Rattus norvegicus: one gene and its partners. The protein of the gene in region 2 purifies or fractionates together with the protein of the main gene of each other region. This does not show direct contact. Links are inferred from orthologs where the notes say so. Each region holds a gene or a part of one and is shown on either strand. Other genes may lie near its edges.

Region 1 (4,666 bases), on a different chromosome or scaffold from region 2:
CCCATTGAAGAAGCCACAAAATTTAAATTCCGATATGTGAAACAAATATGTTTATTAGAGCCAAGTGAAAAGACATTGTATATATGTCTATATGTGTCTGATTTTCTTTTTTTCTAAGACTAGATCTCTTGTAACTCATGGCAATGTAGTTGTGTACGACCTTAAATTCCTGATGTGTTTCCTGTTAATGGTCTTTGCTCTTTTATTATTATTATGGTATTATTATAATACCCTTCTTTTCTTGGGTATTAGGGATTATTAATATGAAGATTTATATATGAGTAATATATTGGGATATTAATTACTAAAAGTCTGCTTTATAGCATTATAAGAATAACTAATAAATACTGTGATGGCTGTTGCCAACTTGTTCTCCCTCGCCTTTAAACTAAGGAACTAATTTTTCCCATCTGTAAATTCAGTTGAAAGGGTTTTTTCCTTTTTCTTTTCTTTTCTTTTTTGTTTTTAAGATTTATTTATTTTATTTATATGAGTGCACTGTACCTGTCTTCAGACACACCAGAAGAAGGTATCAGTTCTCATTACAGATGGTTGTGAGCCACCATGTGGTTGCTGGGATTTGAACTCAGGTCCTCTGGAAAAGCAGTCAGTGCTCTTAACCACTGAGCCATCTCTCCAGCCCTCTTTTTCTTTTCTTTTTCTTTTTTTTTTCCTTTGGTGGTATGGGGGTGTAGCTCAGTAGTCTGTATGGTTAGCATTTCTTCTAGGCTCCTCCTCCCCACAGTTACCTGGCAACAGCCAGGTATGCCTTGCTAACTATAATAGGGGCTGCTTGCCACCTCCTCTCTCTTGCTCTTATTCTCATACTCTCCCTGACCACTTTCTCCCTTTCCCCCTCCCTCCACTTGTTCCTGGCAGACCTTTCCTCACTCTCTCCCTCCCTCCCTCCTTCCCTCCCTCCCTGCCTCTCTCTCTCAACTCCCTTCCCAACTCCATTTCCCATGCCCTAAATAAACTCTGTTCCATACTCTAGCTGATACTATATGGCTGGTACCTCAGGGGGAAGGGATGCCTTAGCTTGGGCCCATAGAGGCACCCCCTCCCACCTCACCGTACCTGGCTCTATCAAACATATCCTGGCTCTTTGTTTTTTGTTTGTTTGGTTTGTTGTTTTGCTTTTTAAATAAAACAACAGTATAATGCCCTGGTTTCCATAATCAGCTCCCAAAATCACAAAGCTTGATCCCTGGTCATTGTTTGTTTAAAGTCTTTGGGTTCTGTTGTAATTCTCTCAAACAAGAGATGTTACATAGTAAAATATTTTCCCTCTCCCTTTCCTGTTACTTTTCCCCCTCAAGCAATTTTAATTAACTGGACAGATGATGGGAAAGCCTTTGTCCCGAATGATTCTAGATAAAGGGTTGATTGTCCTGATCTGTTGTAGTACCTAATCTTGCTTTTCCCCTTCTTCCAGTGAGCGATAATCCTGTTAGGTGGTCCTAAAATGCTATTGATTAATTCACAGCGCTTTTAGAGAAATAAGCCTAAATTTTGGACTTTAAAACAAAGAACCTAACTCCCTTGAGCTCTGAAAGCCTTAGCCTCGGGGCCAGGGGAAGATACCTTCCAACTTCTCCACCCAGTCTGCAGTGAAAAGGAAAGTTAAGCCTTTTAACTTTTTCATTTGCCTCTCCCCCCCTTAGTCTAGTACGGCTGCCAGTTGTCATGGCAACGGACTGGGACAGCTGCGCAGTGGCGCCCAGGCAGCTGGGTGGGGGCGGGGGAGCTGCCAGCCCGCCAAGCCCCAGACCTGGGAGGGGAGGCCCCTCCTGTTAGCCCAGAGGGAAAGAACGAACTGGGGCGATCCGGTAGGTAAGGTAGGGAACCCCTATTGATCTACTTTGAGGGCTTCTCTTCAACATAAAGGTATAAAGAAAAAAATTCTCTTCCTCAAACTGAAGAACACATATGTAAATCCTTGTTGTTTTTTTTTTTTTTTTTTTTTTTTTTTTCCTGGTGAGGCAGGGAAGGCCATAGCCACAATGCTTAACTGCATGCTTCCAACATGGGGCTGGTTTTAACCCAGCGCTCTGACCTAAAGTGCTCAGCTCCCGGAAATTCCAAGGTGAGTGGGGGTGGGGGTGGGGTACTCTCCCTGGAATATGACATTTCCTGTCTGTGGTGAGGTCGGAGGCTGTGTTTATTTTAAATAAACCTTATATATTTTTTGATGTTTATGAGTCTTCTAAATAAATGGAAAGATTATTTCAAAACCCCTTAACTACATTCCCCCAAGCCTTTCTCAAATAAAGTTACCATAGGTCAGAAATTAATATAAGCAGTTTTTGAGGCGGGCATACCTATTTGCTAACCAGTTTTATAGGTAGGATTTTCAACACTTTATTTTTGTAATAATTTCTTACAAATTAATAATTTAAATAAATTGTTAAATACAACTTCTGCTTCTTTGACTTGAACATGATTTTAAGATTAGCTGCCCTTTTTATTTCTGAGATTGGCTTTCTGGCCAAGATGGGAATGTTCTGAAAAATATCTTTAGAGATTATAGCAAAATAACAATGGAGTCAACTGAGAATCAATTCTTGCTACTTGGTAATTCAGACTATGGGTGCCATTTAACATTGTTAAAGAATTATTTTAAAATGATTATGGTAACAACAGTGTGGGAATTTTAAAAACTAGATTCTCTGTGAGCACTCCTGATGTGCATATTTCTGAGCTTAACTCAGTTTCCATTTGTGCTGCCTTGCTGTGGCTTTTCTGGGGCCTGAGGCTGATGAATAAGTCCTCTGTGTTCTTAGGAGGCTTCATGTTGATGCAGAGTCTGGGGCCAGACTTCTCCTTCCTCTTCCTTTGGCCCAAAGTCAACTTCAGTTAAGAGACAAGGTACCTCCTGAACTATTTAGGTTAGTTGAGCTCTGGGAATTACAGACTAGTCCAGTGAGTAATTCTGAAATTTTTTTCTCTGCCCCTCTTCCCTTTTATCCCCAACTGAGCTTGCTAAAAAGAAGACTTAGTATGTTTGAGCTGTCAGCCTTGCTTCTGTGAGCTGATAGATAATCTGAAAGGACAGGCTCAAATTGTTTAAGGGAAATGTACCAATTCAATGGAAATGTGAGAGATGGCCCAAGCAGGATGTGTGTGTGTGTATCCTGAGAGTTCAGAGTATAGAAAAATTAAATTCAGGTGCATTGGGGGGAAAGGGTCTTTTATTCACCTTGATGGAAAAAGATTTTTTTTATTCTTTGTTTCTTTAATTGAAGGCTTTCCATATTTCTTTTTGAGTTCCTGGCTCACAAGTAGATGTAGAAATGGTCAGGAGTAACATGCATGCTGTTTGCTCTTTGGGAATATGAAATTAAAGAGTGAAACAATTATTCCATCTAATAATTTTGATCTCCAGCTGAAGAGAAGTTGTTAGAGAAGTGTGGATTGACCCATGTTAAATTTGTAGCATTGTCATATAATAATTGTAGATCAAAGAGAAGGATAAGTGTCTCACTGGTGTTATATCCTCTGTTCCATCACAAAGAGACAATTTTAACCCTCAGATAGATTAAACCATTTCATCTTTCCCCCTTTTCAGGAACCTGGTGGCCGCACTCCTTTAGGTGGACCAACACATACCCAACATGGGAAAGAAGACCAAGAGGACAGCCGACAGCTCTTCATCAGAGGATGAGGAGGAGTATGTGGTGGAAAAGGTGTTGGACAGGCGCATGGTTAAAGGGCAAGTGGAGTATCTGCTGAAGTGGAAAGGCTTTTCTGAGTAAGTGCTTTCTTTTTCAGTCTTTAAGACTTTGTAGAGATTAGAAAGCTTTGGTTTCTTTGTCCATGAGCCATAATCTGTCTTTTTCCATTTACATACTGTCATGAAAATCAAAACAGGCAGCAGACCACACACTGTCCCTATTATGGAGCTGATACTTTAATGGTTTTACTTTTGAAGAGTAGTTTAAGGAATTGGTTGGAAACACAGACTTGGGAGCTAGATATCGTGGGACCAGATTCTTGTTCCATCCCCTAAGATACAGGTGAATGACCTCGGTTAATTTCTTTTTTTTATTATTATAACTTAAATTTTTTTGCCATTTTGTTTTGTTTATTTTTTATGTTTTTTGAGACAGGGTTTTTCTGTGTAACCTTGGCTGTCCTGGAACTCCCTATTGGACCAGGCTGACTTTGAACTCAGGAGATTAGCTTGCCAAGTGCTGTGATTAAAGGCATGTGCCACCACATGGAGCTAATTTTTTTTCTAATTTTTTGTGTATAAGTGCTTTGCCTATATATACTACATGTATGTTGTCTGGTGCCCATGGTCCAGTAGAGGGCATCAGATCAGCTTGAAGAGGAGTTACAGGTGGTTGTAAGCTGCCATGTAAATGCTGGAAATCAGACCACAGTTCTCTGGGAGAGTAGACAATCCTCTTAAACACTGAACCATTTCTTCAGCCCATTGGCTAATTTTATAATCCCCCAACCCTCACCCCACCCCCCACTCTAATAAAAGAGGTATAAGAGGTTGGTAGGTGTAGCTTAGTAGTAGAGAGCTTTCACCCAGCATACTCAGGGTCCTGGTTTTGTCCTCACATATATACCAAAAGAGGAAAAGAAACAAAAACCCAGGGATAAGGCATAGTACTTGGTGGTCTCAGTGAGTGTGGGTGGACCTCTTACATTTGAA
Region 2 (3,958 bases):
TCACAGCTGTCTGTAACTACAGTCCTAGGACATCCAATGTAATCTTCTAATGTGCAGATGGACATGAAGACAACACACCCACAAGCATAAAATACATCTTTAAAAGTACGAGTTACCCCAGAAAGTCCACTGTTCCTTCCACAGACTTCTTTCATCAACACATCCATGCCACTACCTGATCCCCAACGCTGCTGGTGCAGCTACATTTTCAATCTTTTACCACATTACCATTTCTGTAAAAACAAAGCACCTGCATCCTATTTATCCATTTCACAATAGTTTCAATGCAAGAAATGCTTTAGCAATGTTTTCTGCGTGACTGAATGGTGTTTCAGTCTCTCACATTACCTTTCATTGAAGATTCGGGTCCACTGGTTCTTTGAGCAGAACTGTTGTTGGACACCACCACTGGCCCAGGACTCTGGCCCAGGGAAGGGATAGTGTTAAGAGTATTCACCAACTTGGCCACTTCGTTGCTATTTTCACCTGTAACCCCAGGTCGCTTCACAGTGACAAAGCTGGCAATGCTCACTGCAGGTGGAGAGGGGAAGGAGGGAGCTACATTGACCAAGTGAAAATCATCTGTTTCCCACCCACTGCCCCATGCTGTTCTGCCGTCTCCTCGTCCACATCTCACCTAGTTTGGGATTCGAGGTCTGGTTGGGCTGGCCTGGAGGCTGACCAGCTAGCTGCCCCAATGCGGTTGGCTGTGTGGCAATGGGAGTAGTGGAGGTACTGGGGGTGGACTTGGTCTGCTGGGACTGGGACTGTGGGACAGTGCTTCGGATGGTGAGAGTAGCTGGGATGACGGTGGTAAAGGTGTTGGTGGTGGGCCTCACAGGCATTGTGGAGCCTGGCCTCACGGGGGTCATCTGAGAGAACACTTGTGGGACGCCAACTGTCGGCTTAACAAACTGTGTACCTGGGGCTTTTAAAAAAAGAGACAAAAAAAGTCCCAAACCTTCATCAGTGAGCTCACCTATAAAATATTTTCTTGCCTTTCCTAGAAATACAAGAACAGGAAAAAGTTACTCCCTAAACTGACTGAGTGACCACCAGAGATCACTAAGAGTAGCATCGATCTGAACATCTAAGAAAGCTGTAGCTGTCCGTCAAACAAAAGGAATTATCCAACGTTTCGTAAAGCAGCAGTCAGAAGAAATTCCCACCAACTCTTTTCAGATGCCCTGCACACACTCTTTTTTACAGTAGCTTGGCCTCCATATTAGAAGTGGGAAAAGATTGGGTATATGCAGGCCAAAGGGCAGACTTGGTCCTTAAAGTCTTTTTTCAGAATTCTAAAAGAATTTTCCATTTTCTTCTGTATACTCAAATAGGACAGGCAGTCTACTCTACCTCAATGTCCCAAAGGTTGACCTTTTTCTAGAACTACTGTAGACAATCCCAGGGAAAAACATTTAGAGAACCTCAGAATGTTAGAGACATCTCATCAGATTTATGCCTTAAATGCCCTGATGGCTCTCAAACAACAACAAAGGAAACAAAAGAACAACAACAACAACAAAAAAAAAAAACAAACAAAATGCTTTGGAAAGCCAACCACAGAAGCCCCTTATTGTCCTTGTATTTATCTGAGTGTGTGTATGTGTATATGTGTGAGGGGTGGGGGGTGGGGGTGGCATGCATACCACAGTGTGCAAGTGGAGTCAGAGCAAACCAAGTGGGAACTGGTTCTTTCCATCATGTGGCCTCTAGGGAGTGAACACAGGTCCATTTAGCCCTGAGACACCTACTGGTCCTAAGGACTGTTTACACAAATAAAGTTACTCTCTTTTTGAGCCAAACTGTAGAAAACCTAATAGGTAAGCATTGTGATTTGGGGGGAAATTACAAGAATCTTCTTTTGGTACTGAAAAATTGACCCCAAGGCCTCAAGCAATGCTAAAAATGCTATAACTCCAGCCCCAAGATTCTTTTTTTTTTCTTGGTTCTTTTTTTCGGAGCTGGGGACAGAACCCAGGGCCTTGCGCTTCCTAGGCAAGCGCTCTACCACTGAGCTAAATCCCCAACCCCCCAAGATTCTTTAATATTCCATTATATGGTCAATGGTAGTATTATCTTCAAAACATCTATCATTTACTTAATTTATATCTAAAATTCCCCCAACCTCTGCCTTAGCTTGTTTATTTCTTGAGACAAGACTTGGCCTTAAATTCACAGTAATCCTCCTGCTTCAACCTCCTGAATGTTGGATTCCAGGAGTGTGTCACCATACCTAGTGGCATATAGAAAACCTATGCTTTACAGTTAAAGAAAAATTCAATTTATAATCCTATCCCATAAGTGAGTAAATGTATGGGGAGCATTAGATTTGTGGGTTTGCATTAACAATATTCTTTCAGGATAACAAACAAGAGCTGACCTCATCAGCAGATACTGTTTGACTAAATAAGACTTATTTTACCTCATGAATGGTGGTGAAAAGTTAAATGTAAAACTAAAATTACCACTTGACTAAAGTTCAGACTTTTTAAAATTGGACTTAAATTGTTAACATGGTATTTTAAAATTCTGTTTAAATACATACTTCCAAATGACCGAGACTATTTTGAAACAATAAGAGTAAGTATCTGGATGCCAGGTTGTAAACATGTCCTTACCTGGGACCAGTGTAATTGGTCTGACTGTTTGGCCTTGCTGTACATTCAGCACGATCCCAACCTGGTTCATGGCATTCTGTACAGGGCGAACATTCCTTACAGGGAATCCCTGTATCAAAAAGAAAAATGACCTTTAATACAGACCAACTAGCCAGACACTGACTACAATATGACTGACAGCTCCACAGTCTTACCTAGCAGCTCTCTCTAGAATCACAGCTTTCAAATGACTGAAATGGAGAATTTTAGGAAATTATGGCATGCTAGGTTTTTATGGGGTGTTTTTTGTCCTTTGTTTTTGCCTTGAGACGGGTCTTGCTATGTAGCTTAGGCTGCCCCCAAACTCCTAATTCTGTTGGCAAATATCTTTGGGGTATTTTTGTTCTGTTTTTTTGAGACAGGGCTTTATATAGCCCAGGTTGGCCTTAAACTTGCTATGGAGCCCAGGCAAGCCTTGAATTTATGACAATTTTCTGCTTCATTCTAAAAGCTGGGGTTATAAGCATGTAACACCACACCCAGAGTGCTTAGCAAACTAAAGAAGCAAAAGCAACAAAACTATGCATCCATACACTGTGCTTTGAAGGGAAGAAAAATCACTAATAGTATTTAATCTAGTATTCCGACAGATAAATCACCTTTTTTTAAAAATATGTTGCTCTCAAGCCCACTTCAAAGGCCACAAACCTCTGGTAACTACAAAGGCAGAAAGAAGCATGTGCCTCTTAAATTCCACCCAGATTTGGGCTTTCAACTGACAACCGGTATACTGTATGGCAGAGCCTTCCTTCAAAGACCACTTATTTTATACATGTATTTAAAAGTCAATGAATTCACCCTAGGGGATAGAAGCAGCCCAGGCAAAAGTTATCCCTTGCAAGGCAAATGTGAAGGCTTCAGGTTTTTTTCCCCTTAAGATGTGTATGACTGTGCACGTATGTATGTGCACCACAGGGATGCCTGGTGTCTGTGGAGGTCAGAAGGCATCAAGCCTTCTGAAAGTGAAGTTACAGACACAGCTACGAGCTGACATGTAGGTGCTGGGAATTGAACCTGGGTTCTCTGCTAGAACAACAAATGTTCTTGATGGTTAAGCCGTCTCTCCAGCCCTGAGTGAAGCCTTTCTAATTCTAACTTTCCTGATGATTTCTGCTCAGACTTTCAACTCAACAGACCTCTCAGGTGCATGGACAGGCAATATCATGTAGCCATAATGCTATGCTGAGCATTCCACAAGGCAGAATTCCATGAAACAGTACGGAGAACCTCAGTTCAACAGACAGAACTCTAACAATGATAAAGATCGTGTCCAAGGCAGAGCCTCTGCAGGCTCACCG
Region 3 (3,628 bases), on a different chromosome or scaffold from region 2:
AGAGGTCCTGAGTTAATCCCAGCAACCACATGGTGGCTCACAACCATCTATATTAGGATCTAATGTCCTCTTCTGACATGTAGGTACACATGCAGATAGAGCACTCATATACACAAAATCAAATTTTTAAATTAAAAAAAAGTTAGCTGTTGAGCTGGGGGTGTGACTCAGATGGAAAGGGTTTGATCCCTAGCCCTGTAAAATAACAAAACAAACCCAAACCTTCATGATAAAGATGTGGTTACTGATAGAGGTCTTGCCTAGCATGTACAAGGCTCATGGTTTGAACTTCAGCGCCCACTCCCTCACCCTCAAAAGATTGAGTGTTGATTGTAAAACTTTACCCAAGTTTTTAAAAGTCACACATGGCTAGGTGTGGTAGTTGCACACCTTTGATCCCGATACTTAGAGGCAGAGGCAAATGGTTGTCTGTGAGTTTGAGGCTAGCTGGTCTCCAAAACAACATAGAGCTGCAGTTTTCAACCTGTGGGTCATGACCCCTTTGAGGGCCAAATGACCCTTTCACAGGAGTCATGTATTAGATATCCTGAGTATCGGATGTTTATGTTATAATTCATAACTGTAGAAAAATTACATTTATGATGTAGCAATGGAATTTTTTGGTTAGGAGTCAGCACAAGATGAGAACTGTATGAAGGGTTGCAGCATTAAGAAGGTAGAGAACCACTGACACAGACTGATACATGTATGCTCATGGGTCTGTGTATCTGTAGAACAATACACATGGCTCTGGCTTCTATTTCTAGTACCACATACATGCACATTAAAAAAAATGTGAGGGGCTGGGGATTTAGCTCAGTGGTAGAGCGCTTACCTAGGAAGCACAAGGCCCTGGGTTCGGTCCCCAGCTCCGAAAAAAAAGAACCAAAAAATAAAATAAAAAAATGTGGGGCTGGAGAGATGGCTCAGTGGTTAAGAGCACTGGCTGCTCTTCCAGAGGTCCTGAGTTCAAATCCCAGCAACCACATGGTGGCTCACAACCATCTGTAATGAGATCTGATGCCCTCTTCTGGTGTTGCTAAAGTACACTACAGTGTACTCATATACATAAAATATAATAATTCTTAAAAAAAAAATGGGCTGGAGAGATGGCTCAGCAGTTAACTGGCTTCTTTTCTAAAAGACTCAGGGTCAGTTCCCTGTGCCTACATTGTGGTTCACTACCTTGTAGAACTGTAGTTCCAGGGAATCTTAACATCAGACACACATTTGTATACATATGTATAGGCAAAAGACGTACACATAAAATTTTTTTAATTTGCTGCATGGTTTTCCAGGAAAGTGGTAATACCTGTCCATTGCTGAAAATAGAAAATATTTCTATGTAGTGAAAAGACTTAAACTTACTCCAGAATCTCTGTTAAAATAGGGCAGTGTGTTAGATACTTTGTAAGTACATTTCCAGCCATCTTGGTGTGGTTTCTTATAGAGGCTTAATCATATGGGCTTATTCTGTGGTTCTCTGTGGCTCTAAACCCTTGTTCATGGTCACATTTGGGAGGTTTGTGGTGGGGCCTTGTCACATTCTGTCCTGCCCCACGCTGCTGCCTCTGTCTGGGACGGACCCAGTGAGCTGAAGATGAATGGATAGAGCTTCCTCCTAGTTAACTCCCTATAATGCATATTATTCCCAGATTTTAATCTTGTTTACCTTCTGAAATTCTAATTAAGCTTTTGGGGGGAGGGGCTTTTCTAAAGAAATAGTTGAGTCAGATGACCTACCTTTTGACGACGTTTCTTAGAGAAGATTTTTGTTAGTTTTGTTTTGTTTCAGTTTTTGAGACAGGGTTTCTCTGTATAGCTCTGGCCATCCTGGAGTTCACTTCGTAGACCAGGCTGGCCTCGAACTCACAGCAACCTGCCCTTGGGGGGAGTTTTTTTTTTTTTTTTTTTTTTTCCCCCACATGGAGAGGTTTAATGAGAGAAGAAGAGTAGAAGAGGGGAGGAACAAAGGCTGGCCATGAGCATGTGGAGGGAAGGGGGAAGGATGGGGCGAGAAGGGACAGGGAAGAGGGCACCAGAGCAGAGAAAAGGCAAGAGGGGGGGAGATTTTTAACAGGAATATCTTTGTATGATGTGATAATACATATCTAGTAAATGCTGCTTGCACCCTGTTTCCTAATTTGTTTATGGAATTTAGCCTTTAAAGCCCCATTCCCTGGGTGGTCCAAAACATGAGACCACAATGGCTGACTTCAAAGTTTCTTTGTGCTTTGTTCTGCAGGAAAAACTCTGATGAGGCTGACCTGGTCCCTGCCAAGGAAGCCAATGTCAAGTGCCCACAGGTTGTCATATCCTTCTATGAGGAAAGGCTAACGTGGCATTCCTACCCCTCAGAGGATGATGACAAAAAAGACGACAAGAATTAGCCCTGTTGAGTACCAGCCCCTGTCACCTCTGACTGTGGGTTTCCAGGGGGAGGGAAGGAGCTGTACTTGTCTTGACACCATTGAGGTGGCTTGAGAAGATGTCCTTTGAAGAGCCAGCATAGTTTCTGTGTCCTGCAGCAGCCCAAGTGCTTTAAATTGTTCACACTGTATAGTTTGCACACCCATCCCAGGGGAGGGGAAAGGGTAAGTGTTTCAAGGCTCTGTTCTGCGCTTTACTAAGGAAGGAACAGGCCTTCCATGGAGGACAGAACCCGCAGAACTGGGATGTGGGAAAGCAAAGATACTGTCGATCTTCAAAGAGCATCTCCACAACCCACTGCCTTCTTCCCAATAGTGTTAACTGCATTTTTACAGCCTAGCATGTGTGTAGTTTTTTGGCTATTACTGGTATATTAATTGGGGGTGGGAGGGTTGGGGCAGGGAGGAAGGGAGATGGGTAGAATCATTTTGATTAAAATTTGGAGCCTGATTGGGGAAATGGTGAAACAGTAGAACAGTTAACTAATAAATTGGTTCTATGTCCAGAATATTTTGCCTTTTCAAAAAATTGTCATTGGCACCATAAATAAGGACTATGAGAGACTGTTTAAAAAAAAAAAAAAGAAAAGTCTGTTAATCCTAAAACCTACAGCCAAGGTGCTCCCAACCTGAGCTCAAAGTAGCCCACAAAGGACAAAGCCAGTTCTGAGTTACCAAAGCTGCCATTTGATGATGGAAACTGACTGGAGAGGGAAAGTTTATTGGAGAGTATTAGAGGCAGACCACTCTGCCTCAGAGGTGCTAATTCTTGAAATTGGAGAAAACCTTTTCCAATTACAAAGTTATAAATATCAGTTTGTCCGTCTAAGCCATTGGCTCAAGTATTGCAGGAGGGCCTATGGGAGATGGAGGAGGGGAGCCTCTGCTCTGGGGGCAAACTCTTGGAGCCCCTCTCGCTTTTTCTTTTTTTTTTTTTCTTTCTTTCTTTTTTTTTTTTTTTTTTTTTTTATTTTGTTTTTTCAGCTTTGAACCCTGAAACTGCTTGTGGCAGGTTCAGTTACTGACAGCACAAATTCCATTGAGTCTATTCAAGGATTGAATGACTTCACAAGCCCTGGTCTCAGGAGATTAACTTTCATATTGGGGTAGTGGTTCACTTGAGAATACAAAATCTTCAGATTAACTGATGTCCAAAATACTGTCTTAAATCATGAGATCCATCAATTTTTAGTATTGTC
Region 4 (4,548 bases), on a different chromosome or scaffold from region 2:
TCCCTGTCAATGCTTGAACCTAAGAGTTTGGGGTCAGCAACAGAAACCAGGCCAGGTGGTAGGTACATGCCTGTAACCCCAGCAATTGGGAAGATAAGGCAGGAGGACTTCTGGGAGTTTTGAGGCCAGCTGAGATGTACAAAAGATAACTGCTTACAACGCGTTGTTAAGGTTCCAGCTAGCCAACTATGCATAAAACACACACACACCGGGGGCGGGGTGGGGATGATGTAAGGTATTGTTTTATTTTGTTATGGAAATTTCATGCAAAGTGAAGGAGGCGAGGCAGAGGAGGCCCGCATAGCCCCAGGCACCCTTTACCCCATTTCCACACCCCCATCAAAAGTGCCGCATTTATTGAGCCGGGTACCGTGTCAGTTTCCCTAATTTACTCCATCTGCAGGAGCTGTATCATCAAGGAAGGCCTCTCGATTGGCATCAGTGCCGGGAGAGAGTGAGCTCGGAGCAGCAGGGACAAAGGGTTTTCAGATAAAGCGTTGGCGAGATCAAAGCCTGAGAAGGCAGAGATCGCTGCGTTTGAAGTGCTGGGGATCTGGACCGGATAAAATGGTGGGTGGGTCCAGCAAAGGCATTAGGGACAGAAAGGCCAGGTGTAGGGGATGCATATCTGTCATCCCAGCCCTCCGGAAGCTGAGGCAGGAGAACTGCAGGCAGTTCATGAAAACCTCCTGGAGCTAGAGTGAGTTCCACACAGGGGGACTCTCAGGAACAAAGCAAAACACAACTTTTCATTTTCTGTGATGTAATGGGACTCTACTATAGTTTTAGATTGCTAGTGACATGGGAGAGGGTTGTAGGGATGGCTACGAATAGTATGAAGTGATAGCTCTTTAAAATTACCTACAGGGGCCGGGCTGGCTGCCATATGCCTGTAATTTCAGCACTCTAGAGGTAGCGTTCAAGGTCATTTTTTCCATCCAGGTGTTGGCGGCTAACCTGAGCTACATGAAACCCTGCCTCAAATAAAAAAATAAAAATAAAAGAAGGAAAAGGAAAAGAAAAAGCAAACACCTATAGGAAACTTTCTAATTGTGTTCCATGCAAAAGCTGCCTTGACTTCCTCTAAGAATGCGGGCACTACTTTGCCTCTGGTCATTTGCTTTAGCGATTCTAGTTGGCTCCAGTTCAGACTTGGCTTAAAAATCAGCTCTTGCAGAACCTTGGGTTGGGGCAGGCGTTTCTGGCATCCACGGCTCCTCTTCCAGGTCTTGACAGTTCTAAGTATTAGTCTAAAAAAATGTGGTTCATCTTCCTTAGACTGGGGGTCCAGATCTCTCGCAACGCATAAGTACCACGTGCTGTCCTGGTACTTATCCTAGGTGACAGGGACGTGAACCCGGTCCCAGACCTTAAGTACTTTCAGGACAAGGTTGCCATCCCACTACGCTTAAGTCTGCAGTCCCCTAAACGCATGCGCTTTTCTCAGGTGCCCCCCCTCTCCATCCATATGCTAATCACTGCGCTCCGGAGGACAGCCTCTCCCGGGAATATGCAAATCACATCCTCCAGTGCGGGAGGCCTTCCTTTGTCCAGCGCTAGGATTATGCAAATAAGCGAGTCTCCAGCCCCGGGATCTAGGCAGAGTATTTAGGCCCCCATTTTCCCCTCACCCCAAGGCACCCCCTATTTATAAGGCGCGTTCGCTCTACCGCGCACGCACGCGCGATTCTTGAATCTTCTTCACCCTTCGGACCGCGGACTGTACCAAGTCTAGCGGGGCTGTGAGCCGCAGAGCCCGACACCTCCGCCGGCTTGAGCTCTGCAGCCTGTGCAATTCTCTGAGCCCCTCTTCCCACCGATCGCCGGGAATGGTCTGTCTGACCGCGCACGCGCCCTGAGCGCCTTTCGCCCCTCGCTCACTTGCTCGCTCGCTCGCCTAGCCTCCCTAAACGCAAGCGCAGTGCTCGGGCGTGCAGCCGCTACCGCTGAGCCGAGCCGGGGCCGCCGGCGTCGGTGAGTGTCCGTGGTTGGGGTGGCGCGGGGCATGCTGGGAAGCGGGCGATACAGCCCCGCTGCATGACGGGAGCCTGCGGCGACTTGGCAGAGTGACCAGCCAGAGAGTCCTTTGCTTCTCCCAGCACGCGGCTCGGGACCTACCACAGCTTCGCCTCGAGGCATTGTGGGAGTCCGTGGGCCAGGAGTTATGGGCCTGGGGCATTCTGGGAAGGGCCTGGGCTCCTGGAAGGGACTTTTTTTTTTTTTTTTCTTTTTTTCTTTTTGGTCGCACACGCTCTCCTCCAGAAGCCTCACGGCTAGGAGCGTTTCGGTGCCCGGCGTTTGTATAGGGTGGTCGTTAAAGGCCCGAGGCATCGTGGGAAGTTGTCACGGGGCATTGTGGGAGCTGATCTTTATTGTTTGATAGCGGGTTTCTCCGAGTCCTTGTCCTACCTAGCGTTGTGCGAAAAGGTATCTATTGTGTTCACTCACACAATGTTGGTTCATTTGTGTGTGGGGTGGGTGGGGTCTTAGCCACTCTGTGCTTTTGAGGGAACTGGGGCAGACGGTTTCATGTTCTTGGTTTTGGACCCACAATATCGTGGAGTACGACCTAGAATTTAAAATTTACCAAGTGCTGAGTTCGCAGGGGTGCGCGCCACGCCCAGCAGATTTTCACCTGTCATGCTTCCACCTGATATCCGGAACATTCTGGAAGGAGCTTTATATAACGTGGGTTTGGAAAGGGATGGTTGTCCCCAAGTAACCCCGAGGAAAGTCCTGACAATTTCTGGTGTGATGGTCAAGTGGAATAATAGTTAAAACCCAGTGTGATGTCACGTGCCTATAGTTCCAACACTCAGGGGCTGGGGCAGGAGGATTCGATATTTTGTTTTTTGTTTTGGGGGTTTTTTTGGGGGGGGGACAGATCTCAAAAAAGAGTGAGTTTGGGTTTATGGAATGGGTAATCCTAGGTACCGCATGGAATACATATATTAAATATTTATTTTAAATAGAAACTTAACCAGTCGTCCTCCGTTTTTCCTTGCTAAATAGTGCGAGTTTTTCCAGAAATAATACTCCAGAGTTAGAGGGCCTACACCTGATGGATAGTCAGGAGATCCCTTCCTTGTCAATTCCTATTTCTCTGTCCTTAAAAGGCCTGATCCAGGATCTAGGTGTCTTTAGGAAATTCCCTACCCAATGATACCACCCTTCTCCTGCTGCTCCAGCTACATTCCCCCAACAGCAAACATTTGGGCTTTGAAAAGACAGCGTGCTTTCTACCATTGTTTGTGTCCCCAGTGCCTAACATTGAGCCTTTGTCTTATTACTAGTGTCCCTGTCTATAGTACTGGGAAGCTGAGGTTAGAGCATTGCAAGTTCAAGGCCAGCCTGGACTGGATAGCAAGTCTAATGGAGAGTGGAAACCATATGTGCCTGGTCTTGCAAGGTCCTCTCCCAATGTAGGAGGAGGAAGAAATGTGTACATTGAGAGTAGTGGATTATTGGAGCCAAGGAGCAATATAGATGTTTAGAGGTGAGCTTTGCAAGGGTGAGAATGAGCTCTACAGATCCACAAAGAAGAAGGAGAAAATTCCAGATGGCAAATGGATGATGAACTGGGACCCTTCCCATCTGGCAATAAAAGGCCTTTATGTGCCTGCTTCCAACCCCACAGAAGCCTGGAGAGATGGCAAGAAAATACATTTATTTATTTATTTATTTATTTATTTATTTATTTATTTATTTATTTTATTTTGGTTCTTTTTTTTGGAGCTGGGGACCGAACCCAGGGCCTTGTGCTTCCTAGGCAAGCGCTCTACCACTGAGCTAAATCCCCAACCCCAAGAAAATACATTTATAATTTTTTTTTTAAGACAGGGTCTCATTTAGCTCAGACTAGCCTCAAACCTCAAATTCTGTTAAGGCCAACTAATGGCCTTAAACTACAGATTTACCAGCCTGAGGGCTAGACTGTAGGTATAGACTGCCTACTTCTATTCAAAGCATGGTTTTGAATCCTTGCTCAACCACCAGTCTGCTGAGGTGACCAGCGTGATCTTGAGCTTTGGACAGCGTGCAGGTCTTCTCCTTACTTCCTCTTCTGCCTCAGAGAGCTGTTTTTGTGTGGTTCTGAGTGTGCCAATCAAGGTCTACACACAGGCTTTCCAGAGAAGGAAACAGACAAGAGAAGTGGGGTCCCATTTGAAGCAATAGGCAAAAAATGCCAGGTTTGAGTTTAAACCTAGGCAAGGGTGACTGTTATACAATTGGCGTAGGTTGACGCCCACCACCCGGTGTGGTGATGATCCTGTGATCCTAGCTAGCACTTGGGAGGAAAAGAGGCAGGAAGATCTGGAATTCAAGGTCATCTGAGGCTACTTAGTAAACTTGAGGCCAGCCCGGGTTCCATGATGCCTTGTTTCAAACAAGCAAAATGGAAGGATATTGATTCATCTCAGTAGGCAGAGTGGAGTGTTTGCCTAGCATGCCTGAAGCCCTACCATTTGATCTCTTGCGTTTGGGAGGTAGATCCAGGAGTGTCAGAATTCCAAGGTCAGGGTATTTGAAATCTTGTCTCTTAAAAAC
Region 5 (4,388 bases), on a different chromosome or scaffold from region 2:
GAATAGCACCAAGGTCTCTGCTCACTCAAGGTTCCTGCCTTGAGTTTCCTCAGTATCTTATAAAGTAAACCCTTTCCCGCCCAGCTTCTTTTTGGTTAGGTTTTATCACAGCAACACAGAAGCAAAACTAGGATACTGAAGAACATTACATTCGAGTGAAAAGTGTCTCTGCTTTCTGGTTATATGATTTGCTGTGTCCCTGAAGATTCCACACATGCACACACTGAACTCTCAGAAGCTAATAGAATGAATTAGCAAAGTAGCTTGGTATAGGGTTGCACACAAAATCAGTTGTGTTTTTATATCATAACAATTAACAACAATGTACCACCAGGTAGGCTTTGTTCCTTTTCACCTCATAGGTCTTACTTCCTCAAATCTCACTTCCTTGGTTTCTGGTAGACGCTGCTTTGCCCCACCACACAGGCTTTCAGGGCGAATCTCACTCCCCTGACTTGCCAGAAAGGTCCTTCTTCTTCTCTACTCCATGGGCTTCCAAACTCTATGTCTGGCTTCTCAAGCATCTCCCAGCCCCATGGTTGACAAGAGTTGACTCCAAACACGGAGAAACCCATGCAGAAGGTGGCAGTGAAGAGGACAAAGAAACTTGCTGACCCTTGGATAGTGGCTGTTGGTGCAAGCAGTCATGGAGTCTCAAAAGTGGGTTAGGGATGCTTATGGTGGCTTGTGCCTTTGAGCCCAGCACCTGAGAGGCAGAGACAGGTGAACCTCGGGGCTGCATAGGGAGAGACTCTGTCTTAAAAAAACAAACAAAAGTCACTAACTTTATGTGTCAGACAGCATGGGCTGCTTAAATAAGGTGGCCCTGAGTTCATTTCTATCACCATTCAAAACCAAAACTCAAGGAACCAAACCACCACCACCACCAAAGGCAAAAGCTTAAGAAATTACATAGGTATATAAAGTAAGGTAAAATAGGTCTTCCCAATCTTTCAAAGCAAACGGACTAATGCTAAAACTAAAGGTGAGTATATTTCAATTGTACTTGAAGCCGATTTCTAGAGTTTGAGTTTGAAGACAGGAAACCCGTTTACTGTCCTCTAAGAGCTTTGTTATTGCCTAGTACAGACAGTGTCCCAATGAACGCGTCTTTACTGAGAAGGGATCAAATCAAAAGACAAAAACAAACGCACACACACAAAATACAACAGCAACAAAAATCCAAACTATCGAAAAAGAGGGAAGCAAAGAGACAGAAGCCCAGGACAGAGGTTCAGTCCTTGCTTCGCCAAGCCCAGCCTAGCTGGGAACCTTAGGGCCGGGGGAGGGGGCGACCCGGAGGCACGCGACGGCACTTCCGGTGCGGGCGTGCGTTACTTCCCGGCTAGTCCTGCGTCCAGCCGCCATTCCCGAGGCCGTGCGGCCAGCCCAGCGTTTCCTGTGGGCGTATCCTCCTCTTCACTCCAGGACACCTTGCCGGAGGGTGAGGAGCCGGCGGGCGCCTTGGTTCGGGCTGCAGGGTTGGGTGGGCGGGCGCCGTGGTGCTGGCGGGGGCTTTAGTGCCTTTGGCGTGGCCTGGAGGCCGGAGCGCACCGTGGCTTCTTCCTGTTCTCCGCCTCCAAGGCCGGTCTTTTTTTTTTTTTTTTTTTTTTTTTAATCTTGGTTCTGTCCGTGTAGCGTAGCGTCGCTCAGGATGGGAGGGGGCAATATCGGTCAGGAATTTGCTTTAGGGCTACTGACCTGAGGTCCTAAAGACCTGTGACCTGTGACAGAAGGTCTCCCGACGTGGACCATATATGGGGTTAGCCTTGTCCAGGGAGCCTTTCGGATGGCTGCAGACTAGTAGGGTGTTTTCCAAGAAAGGGCCAGCGCTTTGGCACTTTGCTGTGGAGTGTAAACTCGTGCCAATCTAGTGTTCTCTCACATTTAAACTAAAGATCGCTCGGTGCCCAGAAGTTTTACCCCCAGGTAAACGGGTCATGCTTGTCAAGAACACAAGGAACTCTGAGCAGTAAAATTACTCTGAGAACCCTAACGGCACTCAGGTGACTCTGCCTCTCATGTAAACTGTGGGCTTCCTAAATTAGGCTGGGATTGATGGTGAGCCCTTGCTTAGCAAGAGTGAGGCTTTGGGTTCCGTCCCAGCACTTGGAAACAAGAAAGTGTCACTTGTTACAAATTACCTCACTAACGCGAATTGTCAATAGAATTGGAAAACGTGTAGAAACGTGCCAGTTATTTGTGCTTTGTGTTGTTGTTTTTAAAACACAAAACTAGTCAAGATGTATATCATTTTTTTAAAAAAAAGGCTATTCATAAAGAACAATTGTACTAGTATGTACAATAGACTAATAGATCCAACGTCCTAGGTTGCTTTCTGTTGCTGTGATCAACCACCTTTGGGGAGAAAAGGGTTAATTTCATCTTACAGGTTGTAGTCCGTTGTTGAGGGCAGGAACTCGAGCTGAAAACACAGTTATAGCTGCGTACTGTTGATTTAGTTCCCTTTCTTAATCAGCATAGGCCTACAAGCCTAGGGACAGTACTTGCTATAGCGGGCTGAATATCCTACAGCAATTATAAATCAAAGTAAATGCCCCACAGATGCCTATAAACCAGTCTGGTGGAGACAGTTTTTCAGTTGAGGCTCCAGTATCCCAGGTGTGTCAGATTGGCAACCAGTGTAGCTTACATATCCACTGAGCTCACAGGCATTCTATGTTGAATTTTTAATATGAAACATGTATATCAAAGTGAAGGAGGCTATCACGGCCAGGTATGGTGATTGGACGCCTTTCATCGAAGAGCTCAACTCTGGGGACAGGGGAAGGTGGGTCTCTGGGAGTTGGAGGTCAGCCTAATCTACATGGTGAGCTCCAAGACATCTAGGGCTGCATAGAGACACGAAACTGTCGGTAACTAGGAAGAGAGTGAGTGGACTAATGTGCGGATGCATTGGAAAGTATGGGTCACCAGCTGACAGCACCAGTGACCAGTGCAGACTTTTAGTCTTTACAGTTAGTGTCAGAAGTGCCGGAATCCAGACGGGAGTCTATGCACATTGTCAAGCAAAGATTCAGAGTCAAGACCTTGAAGAGTTTAGTTTCTCTCAGGGCATGGAGTTGGGTTGATGGGGAGGACCTGGGAAGAATAGGGGCGTGGGACGAGATCAGAATGCACTGTGTTGAGATCAGAATGCACTGTATTGAGATCAGAATGCACTGTGTTGAGATCAGGATGCACTGTATTGAGATCAGAATGTACTGTATTGAAAACATTGTTTTTAAAGGATAGCCTTTTCTTCCCTCTCTTTTTTTAAAGATTTATTTATTTTATGTATAGGAGTACACTGTAGCTGTCTTCAGACACACCAGAAGAGGGCATCAGGTCCCATTACAGATGGCTGTGAGCCACCATGTGGTTGCTGGGAATTGAACTCTTGAAAAGAAGCCAGTGCTCTTAACCGTTGAGCCATCCCTCCAGCCCTCATTTTTTTTTTTTTTAAATCAAAAAGAAAAACCTCAAAAATACAACACTTAAAAAGAAATTACTCTCTGAGCATTTTTCTCCATTGTAAAACGAAGAGATTGGGCTCTTAGTCCTTTTGGTCTTGTGTTGATTGCTAACTTTTCAGTGTGCTGCCACTGACAAACACTTTGTTCCAATTCATGATAAAGCATTTTATAAAATGTGCTGGGGCTGGAGAGCTGGCTCAGCTGCTAAGAGGCCTTTTTGTTCTTGCAGAGAACCCAGCTTTGATTCTCACCATCTACATGGTAGCTCATAATAGTCTGTAGCCTCAGTTCAAGGAATCCAGTGCCCTCTTTTGACCTCCATGAGCACCAGACACACAGATATAAATGTGATCAAAACACTCATAAATAAATCTAAAAAAGAAAGACGTCTGTACTATCCATAAGTTTTCCTTTGTGACATGTTTATATTCATAAGTGATAATTTTTAATACTGCTTGTCAACATGTGTTTTACATGTTTTCCCAGCGTACTAGGATACCCTGCCTCTTCTATTCTTTCCATTGCTAATTGACCTTACCCATGCTAGGCAAGTGTACATCCATTAAGCTACAACTCTTTGGAGACTCTGTCTACTGGGTGGTGGTGGTATATGCACTGGGACAGAGACAGGCAGATCTCTGAGTTCAAGGCCAGCCTGGTGTACAGAGCGAGTTCCAGGATATCTAGGGCTACACAGAGAAACCCTATCTTGACAGAATGAGGTGGGACGATCTACCTTCCAGCTTGTTTGTCTTTCATTTAGTCACTGTCATCTCGGTAGCAGCCCACACTCCTAACAGAGCACCTTCTCTAGAGCTGGAGACTATAAGGATACCCTAGGTTTGTGCGGTTGGTATGGTTACAGACGCCTGATAGGGCTCCTCTGGCTGACTGGACTGACTTCCCCCTGCC

The links.
Region 1: the proteins of Pogz (region 2) and Cbx5 purify together in Homo sapiens (affinity purification with mass spectrometry; 5 studies listed by BioGRID and IntAct, with this or other methods). This does not show direct contact. The link is inferred for Rattus norvegicus from reciprocal best matches to the Homo sapiens genes POGZ and CBX5.
Region 3: the proteins of Pogz (region 2) and Cbx1 purify together in Homo sapiens (affinity purification with mass spectrometry; 7 studies listed by BioGRID and IntAct, with this or other methods). This does not show direct contact. The link is inferred for Rattus norvegicus from reciprocal best matches to the Homo sapiens genes POGZ and CBX1.
Region 4: the proteins of Pogz (region 2) and Zfp428 purify together in Homo sapiens (affinity purification with mass spectrometry; 3 studies listed by BioGRID and IntAct, counting the BioPlex papers as one, with this or other methods). This does not show direct contact. The link is inferred for Rattus norvegicus from reciprocal best matches to the Homo sapiens genes POGZ and ZNF428.
Region 5: the proteins of Pogz (region 2) and Champ1 purify together in Homo sapiens (affinity purification with mass spectrometry; 4 studies listed by BioGRID and IntAct, with this or other methods). This does not show direct contact. The link is inferred for Rattus norvegicus from reciprocal best matches to the Homo sapiens genes POGZ and CHAMP1.

What each region holds. Positions count from the first base shown.
Region 1 is NC_086025.1:136,226,248-136,230,913, reverse strand, and holds the start of Cbx5 (chromobox protein homolog 5), read left to right. Parts: upstream 1-1,795; 5' UTR 1,796-1,838; intron 1,839-1,982; exon of another isoform or gene 1,983-1,986; 5' UTR 1,987-2,086; intron 2,087-3,568; 5' UTR 3,569-3,614; coding exon 3,615-3,751; intron 3,752-4,666. UniProt on the Homo sapiens protein: Component of heterochromatin that recognizes and binds histone H3 tails methylated at 'Lys-9' (H3K9me), leading to epigenetic repression. In contrast, it is excluded from chromatin when 'Tyr-41' of histone H3 is phosphorylated (H3Y41ph).
Region 2 is NC_086020.1:185,108,291-185,112,248, reverse strand, and holds part of Pogz (pogo transposable element with ZNF domain), read right to left. Parts: intron 2,731-3,958; coding exon 2,622-2,730; intron 929-2,621; coding exon 638-928; intron 559-637; coding exon 349-558; intron 1-348. UniProt on the Homo sapiens protein: Plays a role in mitotic cell cycle progression and is involved in kinetochore assembly and mitotic sister chromatid cohesion.
Region 3 is NC_086028.1:82,283,413-82,287,040, forward strand, and holds the end of Cbx1 (chromobox protein homolog 1), read left to right. Parts: intron 1-2,245; coding exon 2,246-2,390; 3' UTR 2,391-3,019; downstream 3,020-3,628. UniProt on the Homo sapiens protein: Component of heterochromatin. Recognizes and binds histone H3 tails methylated at 'Lys-9', leading to epigenetic repression. Interaction with lamin B receptor (LBR) can contribute to the association of the heterochromatin with the inner nuclear membrane.
Region 4 is NC_086019.1:89,225,808-89,230,355, forward strand, and holds the start of Zfp428 (zinc finger protein 428), read left to right. Parts: upstream 1-1,634; 5' UTR 1,635-1,974; intron 1,975-2,243; exon of another isoform or gene 2,244-2,427; intron 2,428-4,548.
Region 5 is NC_086034.1:82,444,093-82,448,480, reverse strand, and holds the start of Champ1 (chromosome alignment-maintaining phosphoprotein 1), read left to right. Parts: upstream 1-1,336; 5' UTR 1,337-1,444; intron 1,445-4,388. UniProt on the Homo sapiens protein: Required for proper alignment of chromosomes at metaphase and their accurate segregation during mitosis. Involved in the maintenance of spindle microtubules attachment to the kinetochore during sister chromatid biorientation.